5 linked regions of the Nothobranchius furzeri genome follow. The protein of the gene in region 2 purifies or fractionates together with the protein of the main gene of each other region. This does not show direct contact. Links are inferred from orthologs where the notes say so. Each region holds a gene or a part of one and is shown on either strand. Other genes may lie near its edges.

Region 1 (3,955 bases), on a different chromosome or scaffold from region 2:
ATATTTTGGATTTCTGAAAAATGCTGAGGGACAGTTAATAGAAGACGGCTATCCCGTTTGCGGAACGTGCAGAAGCAGGTGTCTGCAAAAGGCAGCAACACTTCGAATCTAATGGCACATCTGCGTGACCATCGCCCACGTCTCTACAGCCAGTGCAAGGTAAGTTAACATTAGCATTTTAGCTTAAATGCATGATGTGAGGACTTTTGGCTGAGGGAGAATGCAACGAGTCACCATATACTGCAGCCGCAGCGCCCTCTGCCAGCATTTAAACCGTGTCACGGACACCCTGTTGCTGGATGAAGCATCTCATTTGTTGATGATGAAGAGAAATATACAATTAGTTCCTTGTCATTGATTTGTTTACTTATTCAATGCCATTTATACTTGAACATTTGGATTTGATTACATAGTGTAGTAGTTATTTTAGTAATTTGTTTAAAGTGGCTATTTATTTTAAATACATATTTTTTAAGGTTGACTTGTACAGTGCTCAAGTCAAGTGTGGACTGGAGTTTTAGATTTTCATTTTGATAATGAAGAAAACAAGTATATGAGAAAACAAGTGGTGTTTCTTTGATTTGTTTACATATTGTTTATGTTTTGAATGTTTGGATTTGTATAATTTAAACCTGCACTGACTACTGTAACATGTTCCAGAAAAAGAAGCTATTTGTTCCTTTACTTGTGAAAAGTTGCACTTTTGCTAAGGCTTTGTGTTATTTTAGGTTTAATAAACACTGTTAAACCTTTTCAGAACTATTTCAGTTTGTGTAGAACAGGACTATCAATGCTTTCTGAACATATGCAACACCGTTTAAAAAATACTGCGATAATACCGAAAACCGTGATAATTTTGGTCACAATAACCGTGAGGTTAAATTTTCATACCGTGACAACCCTAATTTGGTTTTTTTCTCCCCAAAGTGATATTTGCAAACATTGGAGGTGTTGAATTTCTCCTTAAGTGTGACTTTGAAATATCAAAATTACCAGTCAATCTATCAAATTTTCATGAACAGGCCCTTCAGTACTGGAAGCTGATATATCAGCACAATTGTTCCCCTCACACAACATCAATCTGGAATAATAGGAGCATCTTAATTCATAGAAAATCTGTTTTCTATCAGGATTGGATGGATCGTGGAGTTTGGACAGTTTACTATCTATTAGATGGTGATGGGAATCCTTCATCATACAATGATTTCACTGAAAGATATGACATTATTTGTTCTAGACAAAAACTCGCCAAGCTTATGAAAGCCATTCCCCCACCAGTGATTCAGATGGCTAAAGCCAGCCTAGCTTATTCCAATTGTATCCTTAGAGAGCCATCTTTAATAACTGAAGGATGTCCTTTTAAGGGAAAGGCATGTAACAACATATTTTTAAGAACGACTCTCACCAAACAATATTTTCCATCACAACTCAAACGAAAACACCTACTTAGAGGCTCTAATTCCAGCTTTTTGATTCAATACATTTCCTTCCCAATTCCACCTAAAGCAAAAGAAAACCACTCCTAAATTTTGCATGCCATTTATCCATCAAATGATTGTTTACACAAGAAGTTCAACATCGACATAAATGCATGCGTCTTTCTGCACTAATGATGTTGAAACAGCAGAGCACCTTTTCCATTGGTGTGATGGATAATACTAATGTTTTTGTTAGCTTTTCAGCACTGGATAATGCAAATATATATATATACACTTCCCCCTGTTAACATTTTAAACTATTTGATTTGGTTTACAAACAGTTAATAAAACTTTACAATTTGGGATTAACAATTTGATTATATTGGCTAAATAGTTTATCCATAAGTGCCGTTACTTGAAAACCTCTCGCTGCTTTAAAAAACGAAGTACTTCTTTTGAAAGAATCATTAAAACATTGCAAATTAGACAAAACACATATCCTATTTGACCTTTTGAAACTGCTTTATGAATAATGTTAAAGTTTACAAATACGTAACAATACTTAAATGTGTTCTTGTTATCAATTTCTCCTTCCCTTTTCCTTCTGTTCATTGACATGGTCTGATACACTTTGTACTTTTTCTCTATTTGATGACTGATAAGTTCTTATCCTTTATACATAAATTTTATTACTAAAGGTTTGTTTACGCTGTATTGTCATAATTTCATAATAAAAAAACTGTTGGGATGTTGGTTGAAGCAGGAATGTGAGCCGTGCTTAGAAACTAGGAGGAAGAAAAAATCAAGACACGCCTTCTTCATTCGTAACAAACACATCCGAACATAAAGTGACAAACCTAAATTCTTTAATTCATCTCCAACAACAACTCGTTTTCATGAATCACGCGGAAGAAACCCGAGTTAATAGTGCGAGTATGACTTAAAGTAGCTTCTAGCCATTTTCTGCGACGCCCGTTCTCGCGACAGACTGGTTCCGACACGTCACCTACCTAAGATGCTCAGAAAAGGCAGGTCCTGGTTCTCCGGGGGACGGTTTTGACCAGATGAGTCACGCACACTGTCCATCGCTGAGCCCAGCACGACGAGCGGACCAAAACTTAGGAAGCTACGGACTTCTGGAAGCTTCCTCTGTCACAGCCGCTTCTGCACACTTATCGCGAGATCTTCTTCTTCTTCGTGTTTTCTGGCGGGTGGCATCTGACTGCTAGGTGCATTTCCGCCACCTACTGTGCTGGAGTGTGAGTCGGAGTAAGAACGTAAAAATAAAAATAAAAAAAATAATTCTATTCAACAGACCACTGTGTTTTAGAAACTCAATAACCAACTTATATTTCCTTCCTTCACCATTTAACAAATTTTTTACATTTATCACTCCACCTCCTATGTTTTTTAGTTTCTCCCTGAGTTGTCCTCTACTTTCCTCATATTTTATGCAGTCACTTAAAACATGTTCCACTGTTTCTCCCCCCACCCCACATCCACACAAACCTGTGGGATGTTTCCCTTATCAGATGCATCGTATTATTAAGCCCAGTATGTCCCATTCTTAATCTTGATATTATTCTTTCATCTCTACTATTCATTCTTATATTTTTCCATTTTCCTACTTTCCCTTGTATCTGAAACAAATGTCTTCCTTTCTGTCGCCTTTCCCACATTCTTTGCCACTCGTCCATTATATGTGCTTTAATGATAGATTTAATTTCAGCGGCACTATATGCATTTCCTTCTACTCCTTTATGTGCTGGTACCCATAAAAATTTAACTTCCGCACCCAATTTCCTTAATCTAAATATGGTCTCATAATCTCATATAATAAAGCTATTCGACTCTTGGTAGACATACATTTAACTGACACTAATACAGATAACAAATCAGTACATATAATTCCTTTTTTAATTCTATTTTGTTCCATCCATTGAAGACTAAATAAGATAGCTATCATCTCCACTGTGTACACAGATAAATGATCTGGAGTTCTTTCCCTAACTACTACTCCTATATGTGGTATTACTGTTGTGTGGTGGGGTGAGTACTCCTCATCTCTATAACATCTTTGAGCTCTTCATTTCAGGAGAGGGAGCTCACCAGCTGCAGGGTATTAGCAATCAGTGGCAGCTGCAGCTTCTCAGGTCATCCGCAGCAGAGCTCTATTTAAGAGGAGAGGGAACCACTACACAGTGCTGGATGATTAACTACTCATGGTAGTATTTTGGCCACTCGTTCTAGGTTGCTTGGTTTTTAAGTAGATAATTGGCTTGGAGAATTTCTTGGATTATTCTTGGACTCTTGTGTTGGATTTTTGGACTCAAGTTTTGTATCCTCTCTCCAGGATTACTGGACAATCTTCCCTGACGCTCTGGGTTTGTTGGATATTATCCTCTATCCAAGAAGCAGAACCTTACTGGATTACTCACCTGGAAAGAACCATACCTTCCTGGACTTCGCGGTTCGCCTCTCCTCTTATGGGCTCGACACACGGGAGGCGACATCGCCTCTCCTCCATTCATTTTCAA
Region 2 (4,253 bases):
TAATTTTTATGCTTTAGTGCTGCAACAAGGTTTTATTAATAAGAAACTACCTTGTGTTTTACTACAGCATCGGTAAGCTTCCTGTGCACAGATTATTAAGGATGCTTGTTTCAGCTGTGAGATTAGACGATAGGATCAATGATAAAATAAGTTGTCACACACTCCATGGAAACTTTCAGAGAATCCACAAATAGTGGCTTTCAAATGGTTTTGTTACTTTTTGCAAGTTTAGAAAAGAAGCAGATGAGACAGCATGTCTGATAATTTAGTTTTTCATCTGATAATATTAGAACATGTCAGTAATGTCTGAGGGGATTTTACTAACACTCCTGGAGAGGGTATGGATTACACAGAGGCTTCTGGGGAGCCCAGTTATGGAGGGGGGGGGGCATTTTGCCTTGGCCCCCAAAATGTCTTGAAACGGCCCTGGGTGTGTGACTGAGTTTTGAAGGTGATCTGAATTGTATCAGATGTATAAATATGACATGTGTATAACTTATTGTTTTTTACTGGTAAAAACGTGTAGTGGAGATAAATCTACCTACATTTTACTTTGTTTTCTTGTTTTTATTTAACTATTTTCCTGTCCTGTCTGTCTCTCATCTTCCTGCATCTCCTCATAATTCTCCAGAAAAACTGTTGCCTGGATTCTTACCTTTTCACCTCATCAGTTACTTTTGAGCAGATCAAAGAGATCTCCTGACCGCAAAGCGCAGAGCGCGTTTTCGATGCTGCGTGAGGTGACATCACCACAGCACAGGTGATGAGCTCCGCAGTAGCGCGCTTCAGGCACAAATAAGACAGAAAATAGAGAACATGTGCAGACAAGAACGATCGTGTGCTAATTATAGTTTTTTGGTTGCGCCACTTTGAGAATGGACCGTGCGCTGGAAGCAGCTGCCTGGATCGCTGCGCAACAATGCGGAACCGGTTCGCAGCAGCGCAAGTCTGCAGGCTCTCTCTCGCGCTGATCTGCGGCTCTCCCTCGCGCTGATCTGACTTGCTTTGGTCTGTGCGCAACGGCGGGCGGGAAGGGGGGGCGCTTTTGGAAGAGTTGTGCGACACAACGAATCGATGACGCAATTCGTTGCCAACGCTTTTAGTAATCGATTTTCATCGAATTTATCGATTCGTTGTTGCAGCCCTAGCCGTAACGTCTAAGCTACTGCCGTAACGTCTAAGCTACTGGCGTAACGTCTAAGCTACTGCCGTAACGTCTAAGCTACTGCCGTAATGTCTAAGCTACTGCCATAACGAGAAATTAAAAGGTGTTAAAATTGTGAATTTTCATTCATGTTGAGGGGGCGGGGCCAGACCACACTGACTGCACTCTGTACCTGACAGGAGGGATTCAGGTCTTGTCTGGTTCTGGGTTTTGGTCCAATTGTTATGATGAAAGAAGATCTGGAGGAGTTCAGGTTTCAGGGCGACGGTGGCTCAGGGGTTAGGAGTCTGCTCTGTAATCGGAGGGTTACAGGTTCAAATCCAGGCTTCTAGTCATGTCAGTTGTGTCCTTGGGATGGAAACTTCATCCTCCTTACGATGGTGGTTGGAGGGACTGTGTACGGCAGCCTACCTTCTGTCAGTGTGCCCCAGAGCAGCTGTGGCTCATCACCACAAGTGGGTGAACGTGTGAATGGATGAATGACTGATGCACTAAATTCTAGCTTCTAACCTTAAGAACTAAAACCTTATTTTCACTTCCTTGTTTCAGAAATGTCCTGCAGCTGAAACCTGTTTCAGTTTCAGGCTCTATCAAACACTTTGGGACTCCAGTGTTGTACGAGTAAGACCTCCACTCAGCAGCAGCAACGGAGAAGAGGGGTTGTCTGGGTGACATTGGCCACTAGTTAGCGGCTGCTTAATAAACAATCTGCACTTGAACACCTTTCTGAGTCAGAGGACTCCCAAAGCTCTTTACCTTACAGTGAATCATTCATCCATTCACACAGGAACGTCACAAAATGGCCTGATTTTGAGACTCCACAGGTAAAGATCTGATGGATGGACGGAAACTTCAGAAGTTTTCAAAACTCAAAAGGTTTTATTTCTCTAAAAGTGAACAATAGTGAGATGAATCAGGGTTTTATACAGCTGTCCTTTACAGGTGCAGCGGTTAGTGACCAGAACCAGACATGCTCGCTTTAACCTGTTATTATAGGTCCCTGAACGCACCATCATTAACATCACTTTTAAACTAAGAATTTAAACGTCTATCAGAAAAAAATCATTACTGTTGCTTTCTTTGAGCAAATTTGGTACCGGTCCTCGGAACCAGAACCTGAACACCAGCAGATCATCTCAGGCTGCTCCGGTTCAGGTTGGATCTGGTGCCTGAAGTCCAGGTGTTCAGAGGAGTCTGTGACGTAACGAACCGGTAGATTCTACCCGCAGCTGCACGACCCAGAATCAGAACCAGAGGAACCAGATGAAAAGCTCTTTGTGTTCGGTCCCGGTTCTGAGCTGAAATCGGTTCCGTTTGCTCTAGAAAGCAACGGACTTCTCGATCCATCAGTTTCAGGCACGAATCTCCTCCAGAACCGCAGCCGGAGGTTCTGTTCGTAGGACAGAACTGAGCTTCCGCGAGAGCGAGAAGAAGGAGAGGTTCGGTTGGGTTGGTCTTACCACTGCCGCGGTGGTGAGGACGCAGGCCGTCGTGTAAGCTCTGGTAACAGGAGGAATCTGTAAATATTGCTGCTGTAAAGTCTGGTAAGCCATTTTGGACAGAATGACAACTTCCGGGTCTTTCTGACACGTCATTCCCCAGAGCGACTAGAGAGGCGTTCAGGAGCGTTGGAAAATCCATCACCTCTTACATCAATCTGGAGATACCCCCGAAACGAACCACGTCCACCTCTGAGAGGCTTTCACACAGGGAGCCTTAAGTCTCCTCCCCTTCCGGTCGGCTCATGGGACCCCTGAGCTAAAAGAGCTATTTTCTAATTCTCATTGCCTTTGACCCTGGATCTCACATATGTTGTACTTCTATTTAAATGAAAACTAATGGTGGGTGCTTCGACCACGCCGGTCACGTACTTTGAGATTAATCAGCTTGTAAAAGTTCGTAATTAGCATGACTACAAAACAGAAATCAGCACGTCGCATATGTAATGTCACCACATAAGCTCCTCTCCCCTAGCATAGCTGCTACTCACCACATGACCAGATTTACTGTGGGTTTTTTTTCCTCCTGAAAGAAGGATAAGTACGTTGAACTTACAGCCATTTTCCCTCTGTTTTTCTCCGTGTCTGGTTTGATGATGTCATTTTTATGAAGCACATTTGTAGTCCTGGACTTGTTTTCACACAAAATCTAAAATAACAATTCTCCCTGTTCGGAAATAAGCAAGTTCTTGGTATCAAAATGTCTTTAGATTTCACGGACATCATGTGAAATCCATTGCACAAAACAAGCGGAATTGGAAAAAAAAAAAAGTTTTTATCCCCGTTAACTTGTGTTCATTTTTCGTTTTTCTGTGGACCCGTGGTGCGGAAGTAGATGGGCGTGGCTTAGGCTCCCTATTCAGAGATTGTTATCCACACCTTAATTTCGTCATCTGGGCTGCCAACCCTCACGGTGGCTACAGCCACAGTGCTAACACTAACACATACAACCACACACACACACACACACGCACACACACACACACACAAACACACACACACAGAGCGAGCCAACGAGATTTTGTTATGTCAGATATTTGGTCTCCGTGGTTATGCCTCCAAGCAGGAAAACAGTGAATTTAACCAATTTTCCAAGTTTTTCCTCTGCAATCGTGCTGTTTCACCTCACAACACAGCAATGATTTACTATGGTTGAATAATAAACGATCAAATGAATAATAGATTAAACGAACATGGTTCATTGTTTGTACCCCTTGTGCCCCCCCTCCAAAAAATATTTTGGCTCCTTCCCTGCTCAAAAAGCGCTTAAAGAGATATTTGATTAGAAGAAGAAGAAGAAAATTTCATTTCTATAGCGCCTCTCAAGATAAAAATCACGAGGCGCTTACAGCTGACCTGTCAACCTGGTCTCACTTATTATAATGTTTACTAGCAACGAGCTTGCTGTAGGAGAGGCCATCCCCATCTGTGTCCCCCCTACCCCACTGTACCTCCGCGCTCCTCCAGGCCGCCGGGGGGCAGTAGAGAGCCGAAGCGCGTTTGTGGCGGAGAAATAAGCTAGCTTCTTGTCATCGTGGTGCTGGGGACGCTGCTGGCTGAGCTGGAAGTTACTTTTGTTATTCAAAGAG
Region 3 (3,121 bases), on a different chromosome or scaffold from region 2:
AGTTCTCTGATCTGGTCATTCTCTAGATTCTGAAACAGAGTGTGACGTACGAGGCCTTCATTCCTGCTAGAGACCTCTGCAGATGCACTGATTAATGAGTGAACCACACCTTAACTGTTAGATGAGGTGAACATATTCATCCTTTCCTCTGATCTGTGGCTCCTCAGCTCCACGTTATGTACAGAAGAGGTCATAACCTTCCTCAACACACGGATGCTCTTCTGGGCATGTTCCACCAGCAAGCCCGAGGGCTACCGAGGTGTGTATGCCCGTTCATTCGTTCATCTGTTATCAGTGTGACCCCGGCTTTCCACAGCAGCCGTCAGCAGCACGTTACTGCAGCAGCACGTCATAGCTGCTGATAGGAACGGCTGTGGTCAACAGAACCTTTTCCACAGGAGCCGTCAGCAGCTGTCAGCAGCACGAGTCGGCCGCGTCTCAGGAGCAGCATGTCGCGGCCTTTACGCGCCGGTTCTATTTCCTACGCGCGACGCCTCTGAAACGGGTCAAGTTCGACATTTTTGGGGAAGGAAAGACAGGAAATCGGACGCGGAAATGGAGAGAAGCTCCCGAAATTTTCAGAATAAAGAACGTACTGCCTTCCGGTCGCTTTACTTTAAAAAAGGTTACTAACTGTGCGGCCCCGTGAGAAGTTATCACCTAGCTAGCGGTCTCCTTTGTTTTTCAGGTCCGTATCGGCGATTATAAAACGGACAGAATATAAAAACACAAACATTTTGGAGCCATGTTGTAGTTTTCTCCTGCTTGTTGTTGTGTTTACTGACGAAGTCACTCGTGTGACTTCGTGCCCTGTCGGTGACAGCTGCTCCTCTGCTGCGTCGCGTCTCGTGGGAAGGGCCAAGCAGCAGCTAGACGTGCTGCTGCAGTAACGTGCTGCTGACGGCTCCCGTGGAAACCTGGGGTAAGTCTGGCTGCTCTGAAAACAACAAACACTCTGATATCACTGGTAAACAACATGTTGAGACCAGGGCTGGGCAATAAATCCACTCTTACCGAGATAATTGTTCCCGTCTCAGGAATGAGATGAGAACATGAAATATGTGTGTGAGCTGGCAACATTCATGTCCTGTAAGAAGCTGCACCACCTTCAGTGGCATACCAGTGTGACTCAACCTGGAACACGTGACATCTAGTGGACAACTGTTGTTCCTGCACACACCTGTAGTTCTAGTCTGTTCATCGCTAGCGAGGTGAAATCCTCTATATGTCGTGATATTAGTTGTAGGCCATGCCGCCCAGCCCTAGTTCAGACCCATGTGGAGTCCCCAAAGCTAGAAGCTAGTGCTGCTTTTCTGTCCTACAGGGACTCTTCTGTTAGCTTGAGTGGCTACAAAAACATTAAGATCCGTGCAGAAGCGTGGTAATAATGGTAGTCCACTGGGCTTTTGTGTAACAATGGTTTCTATACCAAGTGTCCCAAGCGTTGCGGGAGAACACCTACCCATTCCTGGCCATGATCATGCTAAAGGACCGGAAGATGACCGTGGTGGGTCGGCTCGAGGGTCTGATTCAGCCTGAGGAGCTCATCAATCAGGTCACCTTCATCATGGATGCCAACCAGACATACCTGATGTCAGAGCGCCTTGAGCGGTACGTCAGACCAGCTGGAGTTAGTGAGACCGTCGTCACATTCTCTACAGCTGAAGTAGCAGCGAGTGAAGACTGAAGTGTTGTTTCCAGAGAGGAGAGGAACCAGACCCAGGTGCTGAGGCAGCAGCAGGATGAGGCCTACCTGGCCTCCTTACGCGCCGACCAGGAGAAGGAGAGGAAGAAAAGGGAGGAGCTGGAGCAGAAGAAGCAAGAGGAGGAAAAGGTCCGACAGAGTGCTCTTGCAGAGGAGAGGAGACGAAGAGTGAGTCTGGTCGTCTTCGTTTGTACATGGATACGTTGGTCTTCCCCTACATGTCTGATTCCTGTTGTTGTTTTCACTCCAGACACTAGAAGAGGAGAAGGAGAGGAAGTCGGAGTGCCTTCCTCCAGAACCATCTGCTGATGATCCAGAAAGTGTTAAAATAGTGTTCAAGTTGCCCAACGACACACGAGTAGAGAGGCGGTTCCTGTTCGCTCAGTCTCTGACGGTGAGCGCTGGTGTCTTTGGTCTCCTTCACACGCCTCTGGTCAATGTTTGGTTATTAGACGCTGACATGTGATGAAACATCTACATGTTTCTTCTTCCTTCCACAGGTAATCTACGACTTCCTTTTCTCTTTGAAGGAAACTCCAGAGAAGTTTCAGATCGTGACAAACTTCCCTCGCCGAGTCTTGCCCTGCCTTCCGACTGCAGAGCAGCCCAACCCCCCCACGCTGAAGGAGGCAGGACTCAGTCGCTCCGAGGTCGTTTTTGTTCAGGACCTCACGGACGACTAATAGATGACTTACCTCGTCTACATGGAGACACGTTTATCTCTGACCCACCCATGTTGTTTGGTTTGTTTTGGTAAATGGCCGTTTTACAGAAGGGATGGTTGCTATAGAAACTAACCTGGATCACTAAACCACCCTGCATCCAGTGCTCCTTCACTTGTGTTGACAGGGTTCCCATTAGCCTGCAGTCTTGAATTTTATCAAATAAATATTTCTTGAAGTGGTTCCTTGTGTGGAGAAACTGTTGTTGGTGTTAGCTAACAGTTATCCTCCTCCCAGCAGTGAGACTAAAGCTGCAGCACAACCTCCTCGTCCCACACAAGCTGTCACAACCGAGGAAGACTGGTTGTTAGTTACTCGAGGGGAGTTCCCTGCTGTTTCTCTTGGTTCATGCTTTAGCCCACAACCCCTACAGCGATTATCAAGCACAACTAGCACGGTCCAAGTCTGAAGCAGCTGTGATCGAGAGTTGAAAGGATGGGAACCCTGTTTAAATGAGCCATCACTTGTACATAAGTTAAATATTTAAATGCCCACTATTGTTTTTATTTGACTCGTCATGAAACGACCAAATGCAGGTTTGTTACTATGTAAAGCAGACTGCCTCCAGCTCATGAAGTTAAAACGTACAATATTTAACGAAGGCCACAGCTTTTACATGTGGCTCTATGTAGTTTAGTCTGCCCATAGTGTGCCTGTGGTTACTCATAGATGCCTGTTTTGCCTGTAATATCTG
Region 4 (3,515 bases), on a different chromosome or scaffold from region 2:
AATTGAAACTTCCGTTGTTTTATTTGGCTGTGTCAGGTTGGAGGGAATTAAGGTTATTTAAGCGGTTCAGAGTTAATAAAGTGGTAGATATGATGTTTCACAAGGTGCTGCTAGAGTTATGTGAAATCTTACTGCTGATTTTACTATATAAAACATAATAATAATCAACTTCTCCGTCATGTTTGCTCGGAGATGTACGGAGCATCCTGTCCGCTCATTGGTCAGTGAATGAAACCTCCGTTGATTGGTCCTCGTCCGAGCGACAGCAATGAAAAGTTGAAAATGTTTCAACTTTCTGGGATTGCGTCGCTGGGTCGCCTGTGCACGACACGTGCACGAGCGCAAAATTTCACTTGCACGTCTTTCGCGTTTCGCTGAGTAGGAGGGAGACCCGCGATTATCGCTTAGTCGCGCATGTCTCACTGAAAATGAATGGAGGAGAGGCGATGCCGCCTCCCGTGTGTCGAGCCCTTAAGGTGTATAGACAGAGACCCTAAGCTACATTCTGTGACCTAAAATGCTTCGTCCAAGTTAAACAGCTTAAGGGCAATTCTCATCTGTCTTATTTGATCTCATCTGTAGACATTTATTATAATTGGGGATGTCAAATGACTAATTTTTAAATGTAATTAAACATAGGCTGTGAATTCATCAAAATTAATCACTATTTCCAAAAATGACTAAAAAATACCAAATAAAACAAAAAAAATTGAAGACTTGGAAGAGTTGTCCGACACAACGAATCGATGACGCAATTCGTTGCCAACACTTTTAATAATCGATTTTTATCGATTCGTTGTTGCAGCCCTAATCACAGTACATGATAAGATGATCACTTTTACGGAGTTCTGAAAAAGCATACATGATTTCTGAAAGGGTAAAACTCCGGAAAGATACTTTAAGGGGATCAATTTGGAGGTTAAACCACAAAATATTTCTGAGCACGGCCATGCCTGCAGCTCACGACTCCCCCAAGGGATAGGTCCAATGCGGAAAACAAATTTTGCCGGTGTGTGATGACTAATGGGACTTCAATCTTTAAATGCCAGCATCCTCACACACCAAACTGTGTATCACTTGTATTCACAAGATAAAGGTGCTTGCATGCATGCTTCTTTGTATGTGTGTTACTCCTCAGGTACTCCATCCATCTGTGGGATCTGAACCATCCAGGAACTTGGGAAAGCAAAGGCACATATGTGTATTACACAGACTTCATCATGGAGCTGTCTATGCTGTTTCTGGATCTTATGCACCACATCCACATGCTTGTAAGATCTAAAGCTGTTTCCTTATTCTGGGACATCTTTTTACATTCATGTTTTTTTTAAAGCGTTTTGTTATAGAACTCAGATTATCTGTATACACACACACACACACACATAGAATTATTAGAAAAAAAATTGAATGGTTTACATGTGCACTTGTCAGTGTTTTGATCAAATGTGAAGGATTATTTGAAGAGGCATTTGGGAGTAGAAGAGAGGAGACTCGGCTCAGTGAGCTTAGCCAGAGTATCTGAGATCTACGTCTTTATTTAGAATATTTACACAGTTTATTTTCCTCTCCAAATATGTTACTTTCAGCTTTTTGGAAACATCTGGCTTTCCATGGCGAGCTTGGTCATCTTTATGCAGCTGCGCTACCTATTCTATGAGGTCCAGCGCCGCATCCGCAGACACAAGAACTACCTACGAGTCATTAACAACATGGAGGCCAGGTAATAATACATACGTGTACAAAAATGTAGTAATACCATTGTTATTATGTGTGCTTTTGAGTCCTTGTGGGTGCCATTGATTCTTGTTCTAAATGTGTGCAGGTTTGCTGCTGCTACTCCAGACGAGCTGGCAGCCAATAACGATGACTGCGCCATCTGCTGGGACGCCATGCTTACGGCACGAAAACTTCCATGCGGTCATCTCTTTCACAAGTAAACAAGCGCTTCCTTTTTGGTAGCTTCTGTAAAACAAAGTAAAAGCTGCCTATTAGAAACGGTATGCATCCATGTGATTTTGTAGCTCTTGCTTGCGCTCCTGGCTTGAGCAAGATACGTCGTGTCCCACATGTCGAACTTCGCTAAACATCAATGGGGACGGGGTTCAGGTGAGAGGTCAGCCGCAGGGTGGTGCTATGGAGGATAACGTCGGTCCTGCTGGTGCTGCTCTGGAGGGGAGACCACACATCAACCATCACAATCACTTCTTCCACTTCGATGGTAAGTCACCCAAACCCCTAACCGCGACCCGACACGTCTCTGATGGGTTGTGATGTTTATTTATTCTTACAGGATCCCGTATTGCCAGCTGGCTGCCCAGTTTTTCAGTGGAAGTGATGCACACCACTAATATTTTGGGCATCACGCAGGCCAACAACTCTCAGCTCACAGCTATGGTAGGACCACGTTTACTCCCTCTGTGGTTTCATGTGAGATCACACAGAGATCCTGACTGAAGTTGTGTTCTTTTCTTAGTCCTTTTTTAGTTAATAAGTCATTTGTTTTTTAGAATATTTTTACAATAAATGGATTGTATTTTTGTAATAAAAGAAGTGTCAGCATCAAAGCCTCCATCAAATACACCTGATGAAGTTCATTAAACCCCACGTTAGACACTTTCAAGTTAGGAATCTGCTGTAATCTGGGATTGAATAAAACCCACAAGTATTTATTTAATCATTAGGGATGTTCCGATCACGCTGTTTTGGTCCCGACCTGAGTCCGAGTCATTTAATTTTGAGTGTCTGCCGATACCGAGTCCTGATCCGATACTTCTCAGGAAAGCATTAAAATAAGAAGAAATAAAGAAAACATCTGAGTTTTCCTTTAACTTTCACTTTTTTAAGAAGTGCATTGATTAAAAAGCGAGTTTATATTATGAATATATTTAAAAGTGGCAGCGTTGCTCATATTTCAAGTTGTTTACTCCCTCAATATGCAGCTGTGTTGAGAGATGTTTGTTCCCGTGATGGGGCAGGCATGCGGTGCCTTGGCCGTCTGGCTAACTTTTCCTGCACAACACCTGTAGCTACCGAGCAGCTTGGTCCTGCAGGAGACTTAGAAACCCCAACATTCAGCAGCCTGTTTATTTCCCTGTGGGCTGGCTCTGTGCTGTCTGAGTTTGTTGTGAACTGGGAAGGAAACAGGTCGCTTTGTTGACGCCTGAAGGGAAACCCAAATGCAAAAGTAAAGGTTTGAAGGCTGTGAATGCCCAGTATGCAGACATTACAAGTGGCTGTTACACTGCCTTCACTGTTTGGATTAAAATACCACCATATTACGGACAATAAGCAGTAGCCTGCTTGCTAACAGCTGCACCTCGGTGTCTGAATCCCTGCCTGCCGTAAAATCTTGTGACTTTATGGTGTTGTTTTCATACAAGAAACAAATAATGTTGATACAGATGAACTTGTTGAAATTAAAACCAAGTCATTGTTATTCCAATAGAAAATCTCTATTTTGAGATGAATTTAAAATATCATAATTGTTGTTTAAAATCTTTTCCTCCCAATTCCGA
Region 5 (4,290 bases), on a different chromosome or scaffold from region 2:
ATTGTAAAACTGCTATTTGGTTTTAATGTCACAAAACACACAGAAGCTAAGTAAAAAAAAAAAAAAAGAAGGAAAACTGAATGCATATCCTACAGTCATTTATCTCATAAAGAGGCAACTTTAAGAGCACATACAGATATTTCTGAGCATTTTCTGTCAACAGTGTTTGAAGAGGCCTACATTTAAAGGGAGATTGGGTGTTTTGGCTTGCTTTTAGCACCTGTAGTGTCTGTTTAGAAGAACCAAAAACAAAAGACATCTACTTAATGTGCATTCCTCTTTTTAACACCTTAATCAAACAGATGAAATGTCTCCCCAGCCTTCATTAATGTCTACAGGAGTGATCCAGCACTAAATTAAACAAATCAGCTGTGTTCGTGATCTAAAACATGCAGGAAACATGCTGAAAGCAGACTGCAACCCCAGGTTGGTCAGCTCCAGTGTTTTTTTTTTAAAGTCCAACAAACTGGACCGACACTCTAATGTTAAAAATGCGGTATTCTGGCCACAGAGTGTGATGGGGGTCTGAGTGAAATTTCATTAACCCTGTAAAGGGTCATTTTAGCACATATAGAAAATGATGTAAAAATATGAAAAAGTTGCCTAATATCCCTGGGTCTGTAGTTAGTTGTTTTATTTCTTAGTTTTTGTAGTTAATAAAGACAACTTTACCTTTGCCGTTTCATTGTTCCAGTCAAATTCAGACTCATAAAATCCCAGATAAAGAACACCCCCATTGATTTCTGTGTCTAAAAAAAAAGAACATCAGTCACAAACATGTCTTAAAAACATGCAGACGATAATCAGACCTGGAAAATGTATTTTTAGACTTATACAAGTTTGCAAAAATGTTATGTCAACATTTCTCCGTGTGTTAAAGACTTTTGAATCTTTAACTGTCAGAAGGTGCACAGCTACTATAAGTGTAAGAACACAAGTTTAACTTGTTTTTTTTTTCTAGAAATGCACAGATGAACGGTAAACAGAATCAGCTTTTAGTGGCTTGACTGATATACCAGGCACAATCCTGTCTCAGTGATCACACTAAAGACAAGCACAAACACAAACTAGCAGGATATTTTTACTGAGAGAGGAGGATTCACAGTTAGCTGTCTGTAAGATGTTTAAAAATAACATCAGAGAAAGTGTAAAAAACATTTTACTTAAGACACAGATTTTTTAAATAGACAGTAGCGTATAATCTACAGGTCAGGTTGACTGCAGTTCATATCCTAATGATGTGAATCCAGATGAGTTCCCAGATATTTTTGTCTTTTAATAAAACACAATGAAGTTAGTAAAAGTATTGGCTAAATTGCAGCATTACTGAAAACAACATGGTTATATGAAAGCAATTCTCTTGTTTCTTAGTTACATGCACATCCATCCATCCATTAGAAGACCTGGATAAAAACACAACACTCAAAAAGGTCTGATAAATATGTAAGTTTACAGCAGGCAAACTGCCCTTTGTATTTATAATTTGCCCACAATTTGTCATTAGAAAAATAAGTCAATTAAGAATGCTTAATCAGAATATTTTTACCTTCAAGGTGGTACTGTTGGATATGTTTACTATGGCAAAACTCATATGTCCACCAGTCTTTTGTCTGCAGGAAATAATGACAGCAAATTTCAAATGAGGTCATTTGCATAGTGCAGTCAACAGTTTGGCAACACCTGCATATTAAACAGGTGTGTGACAGGTGTCTCTCTCAAACATTTGACTGGTACTGATAGTTGGTCGATCTAGCTCATGCCACTTCTGATCTGAATCTTGGTCCACATAGTGAATTATGTAATCTCACATGAATGTAAACTAATAAAAAGTACACACGTCTTTAAAAAAATGTTTAAAAGCAGCTTGAGGGATCATAATCCAGAAAGTATTTGACGTTTTTTTGATTACACCTGCACAATGTTATAACTATGTAATTTGAAAAGAAACAATTGTTAATTGGTGACAGTATGTGTGATGAGGTCTGTACAGAGCTCTTAATCACTTAATTACATACGTATTTAATAAGCGAATTACATAAATAAGCATTGATTGACACCTGAAAAGTGAGAGAATACCTTTAGTAAACATGGAGATTTGTGCATAGGCTTGAGCAGGTCTGGGATGTCTGGGCCGGTGTAGGCCTGAGAGTCAGGCTCGGAGGCTGGGTCCTGGTGAAAGCGGACAGCCTGGGCTGGTAGTCGACATTCATAGAGCTGCTTGTATTTATTAGACACCATCATTACTTCCTCTGTCTTGGTCTGAAAAATAAACACTGTGATGAAACCCCAGTAATAATTAAAGGGAAGCTACACAGTATATTGGCAGTAGTTAATTGGTCAGGTGTTTTGTGTGTGTGTGTGTGTGTGTGTGTACATGTTGTCAAGACAGCTGTCACAGTTGTCGCTCATAAATTAACAATTTCTGTCTTCGCACGAATTGGCAAAATATCTTAACGTTTCTTGCTGAGCTTAAACAAACATGTTATTTGTATTTGTAATTAAATAACCTAAAGGAATTAATATATTTATCGCTAGCAAGCTGTAGCCTACATTATAGCTAACAAGCTACACGTTAGCATCTATAGCCCCCACTCACCTGCCCTAATATCACGGGGTCAGACAGAATTTGAATCCCGTATTTCATTTCGTTTAACTCTTCCAAATTCAAGAAGGCTGGAACACAGAGGGGGCATATCAACACAAAAAGGAACAGTCTCTTCAGCCACCGCAATAATAAGGAGGCAGCCATCGTTAACACTCTTCGTACACCAAGCGCTGTACAAGCATCAAAACACAGAACGCCTGACATGGTAGACGTTGATTGGTTAGTGTCAAAGTTGTTGCTCTACGATTGGTTGAATTTAATGTCAGTCACCAGTTTTTTTACTTCCAGTGTGTACTAGTTTCTTGTTACAGGGACGATTTAAACGGGCGACACAGGCACCGCTAACTAACGAACAACACCCGAACTGTCTGCTGACGCTTTACTTTACTATACATAAAATAAACGCACACGCATACTGATTTAGATCTGCATCATTGGTCTAATGAATGAGGCGTTTATTTTGTCTATAGTTTAAAAATTAATTATTATTACAGTATAAACTGAGTCTTATTTCCTGGAAGAAGCACACACAAAATGAATTAGCATAGACGCCCACTCACACAACATATCTTACTTTAAATTTTATTTTTAAAAGACGTTGATGTTTTTAAGAAATAACTCAATTGTTGTTACTTTTGTATCTTTAAGCACAAATCACATTTTGTGGGGTGCAGACTTCATTCTGGATCCCCGGTTGCTGTGCAGCCGCTGTTGCTGCAGGGGGAGTCTCTTCCACAGCGCGATGTGTTGCGATGTGCGGCCGCGTTTTTATTTGCCTCTGCTCCGCTTTTTTTCTTCTTCATCTAATTCCATTTGCAAGACTCTTGGGGAACGCATTCATTAAAAAGGGAGCGCTTGGTGAAGGAGGGAGGTGACACATCTTCACTGGGGTGAGCTGCATATTCCTGGGATTTTTCTATTTTAATAAGCTTCAGATTGGGAAAAAGGGCCTGTCCGTCTTTTACTTGGGATTTCCTGCTCTGTGTGAACATTGAGTAGCCTATTTGCTCATCTTCACATAAGAAAAAAAATGCTTTGGTCTTTATTACAGCAGGAATTCTCGATGAAAATGTCAAAACCAGGAGATGCGCGTTTATCTGGATGCATAGGTGCGTTCGGTTAATAATAGTCACGTTTTTATGGATGCGGCGTGTTTAAAGGTAGGCTAGTGGGCCCGTGTCGATTCTGGGGTTTCAGCTCTCTATTTGCTGAACAGAAGATTAGGAAATCCTCGTTTAACCAAGGGTGCTGTGCAGTGCGGAGGACGTCTGGGGCAGTGGCCCGGTATTTGAATGGACTCAAGCGATACAGCTATTCAGGTACGCGCTCGTTGGGAGGAAGGGAGGAACCGAGAAAGGACCTGGCAGGCTAGGCTCGTTTCTCCCTTGGATTTAAAAACAGCGACATGACAGTTTCTCCCGTCCGGTTTGGATTCGGTTTGAGAAGAAGACCATCTTTTATTATTAGGCTACTCAATATAAATGGTCGCTCGTGGATGTAAGAGGAGGGGTGGGACAGTGAGAAACAACATGCTGCAGATTGAAAACTGTTTGTGTGGTTTTGATTTGGATGGACTGAGAAATGAATGAATTAAAAGTCCTAAAGCATGTTCTCTGAGACAGACAGACAAGCATCATTTTGCTGATGTGGTTCACTGATATGGGAAATTATTTTCAATGAGATTA

Evidence for each region.
Region 1: the proteins of derl2 (region 2) and selenos purify together in Homo sapiens (affinity purification with western blotting; 3 studies listed by BioGRID and IntAct, with this or other methods). This does not show direct contact. The link is inferred for Nothobranchius furzeri from reciprocal best matches to the Homo sapiens genes DERL2 and SELENOS.
Region 3: the proteins of derl2 (region 2) and faf2 purify together in Homo sapiens (affinity purification with mass spectrometry; 5 studies listed by BioGRID and IntAct, counting the BioPlex papers as one, with this or other methods). This does not show direct contact. The link is inferred for Nothobranchius furzeri from reciprocal best matches to the Homo sapiens genes DERL2 and FAF2.
Region 4: the proteins of derl2 (region 2) and amfra purify together in Homo sapiens (affinity purification with western blotting; 4 studies listed by BioGRID and IntAct, with this or other methods). This does not show direct contact. The link is inferred for Nothobranchius furzeri from reciprocal best matches to the Homo sapiens genes DERL2 and AMFR.
Region 5: the proteins of derl2 (region 2) and os9 purify together in Homo sapiens (affinity purification with western blotting; 3 studies listed by BioGRID, with this or other methods). This does not show direct contact. The link is inferred for Nothobranchius furzeri from reciprocal best matches to the Homo sapiens genes DERL2 and OS9.

The regions. Positions count from the first base shown.
Region 1 is NC_091749.1:6,254,018-6,257,972, reverse strand, and holds the start of selenos (selenoprotein S), read right to left. Parts: upstream 2,802-3,955; 5' UTR 2,505-2,801; coding exon 2,429-2,504; intron 1-2,428. UniProt on the Homo sapiens protein: Involved in the degradation process of misfolded endoplasmic reticulum (ER) luminal proteins. Participates in the transfer of misfolded proteins from the ER to the cytosol, where they are destroyed by the proteasome in a ubiquitin-dependent manner.
Region 2 is NC_091746.1:70,401,909-70,406,161, forward strand, and holds the start of derl2 (derlin-2), read right to left. Parts: upstream 2,816-4,253; 5' UTR 2,761-2,815; coding exon 2,626-2,760; intron 1-2,625.
Region 3 is NC_091742.1:44,986,927-44,990,047, reverse strand, and holds the end of faf2 (FAS-associated factor 2), read left to right. Parts: intron 1-167; coding exon 168-259; intron 260-1,433; coding exon 1,434-1,611; intron 1,612-1,701; coding exon 1,702-1,873; intron 1,874-1,955; coding exon 1,956-2,099; intron 2,100-2,205; coding exon 2,206-2,388; 3' UTR 2,389-2,610; downstream 2,611-3,121. UniProt on the Homo sapiens protein: Plays an important role in endoplasmic reticulum-associated degradation (ERAD) that mediates ubiquitin-dependent degradation of misfolded endoplasmic reticulum proteins.
Region 4 is NC_091749.1:54,415,029-54,418,543, forward strand, and holds part of amfra (E3 ubiquitin-protein ligase AMFR), read left to right. Parts: intron 1-1,138; coding exon 1,139-1,271; intron 1,272-1,586; coding exon 1,587-1,720; intron 1,721-1,822; coding exon 1,823-1,933; intron 1,934-2,021; coding exon 2,022-2,218; intron 2,219-2,290; coding exon 2,291-2,394; intron 2,395-3,515. UniProt on the Homo sapiens protein: E3 ubiquitin-protein ligase that mediates the polyubiquitination of lysine and cysteine residues on target proteins, such as CD3D, CYP3A4, CFTR, INSIG1, SOAT2/ACAT2 and APOB for proteasomal degradation.
Region 5 is NC_091743.1:48,732,045-48,736,334, reverse strand, and holds the start of os9 (protein OS-9), read right to left. Parts: upstream 2,801-4,290; 5' UTR 2,750-2,800; coding exon 2,597-2,749; intron 2,260-2,596; coding exon 2,077-2,259; intron 1,611-2,076; coding exon 1,547-1,610; intron 750-1,546; coding exon 673-749; intron 1-672. UniProt on the Homo sapiens protein: Lectin component of the HRD1 complex, which functions in endoplasmic reticulum (ER) quality control and ER-associated degradation (ERAD).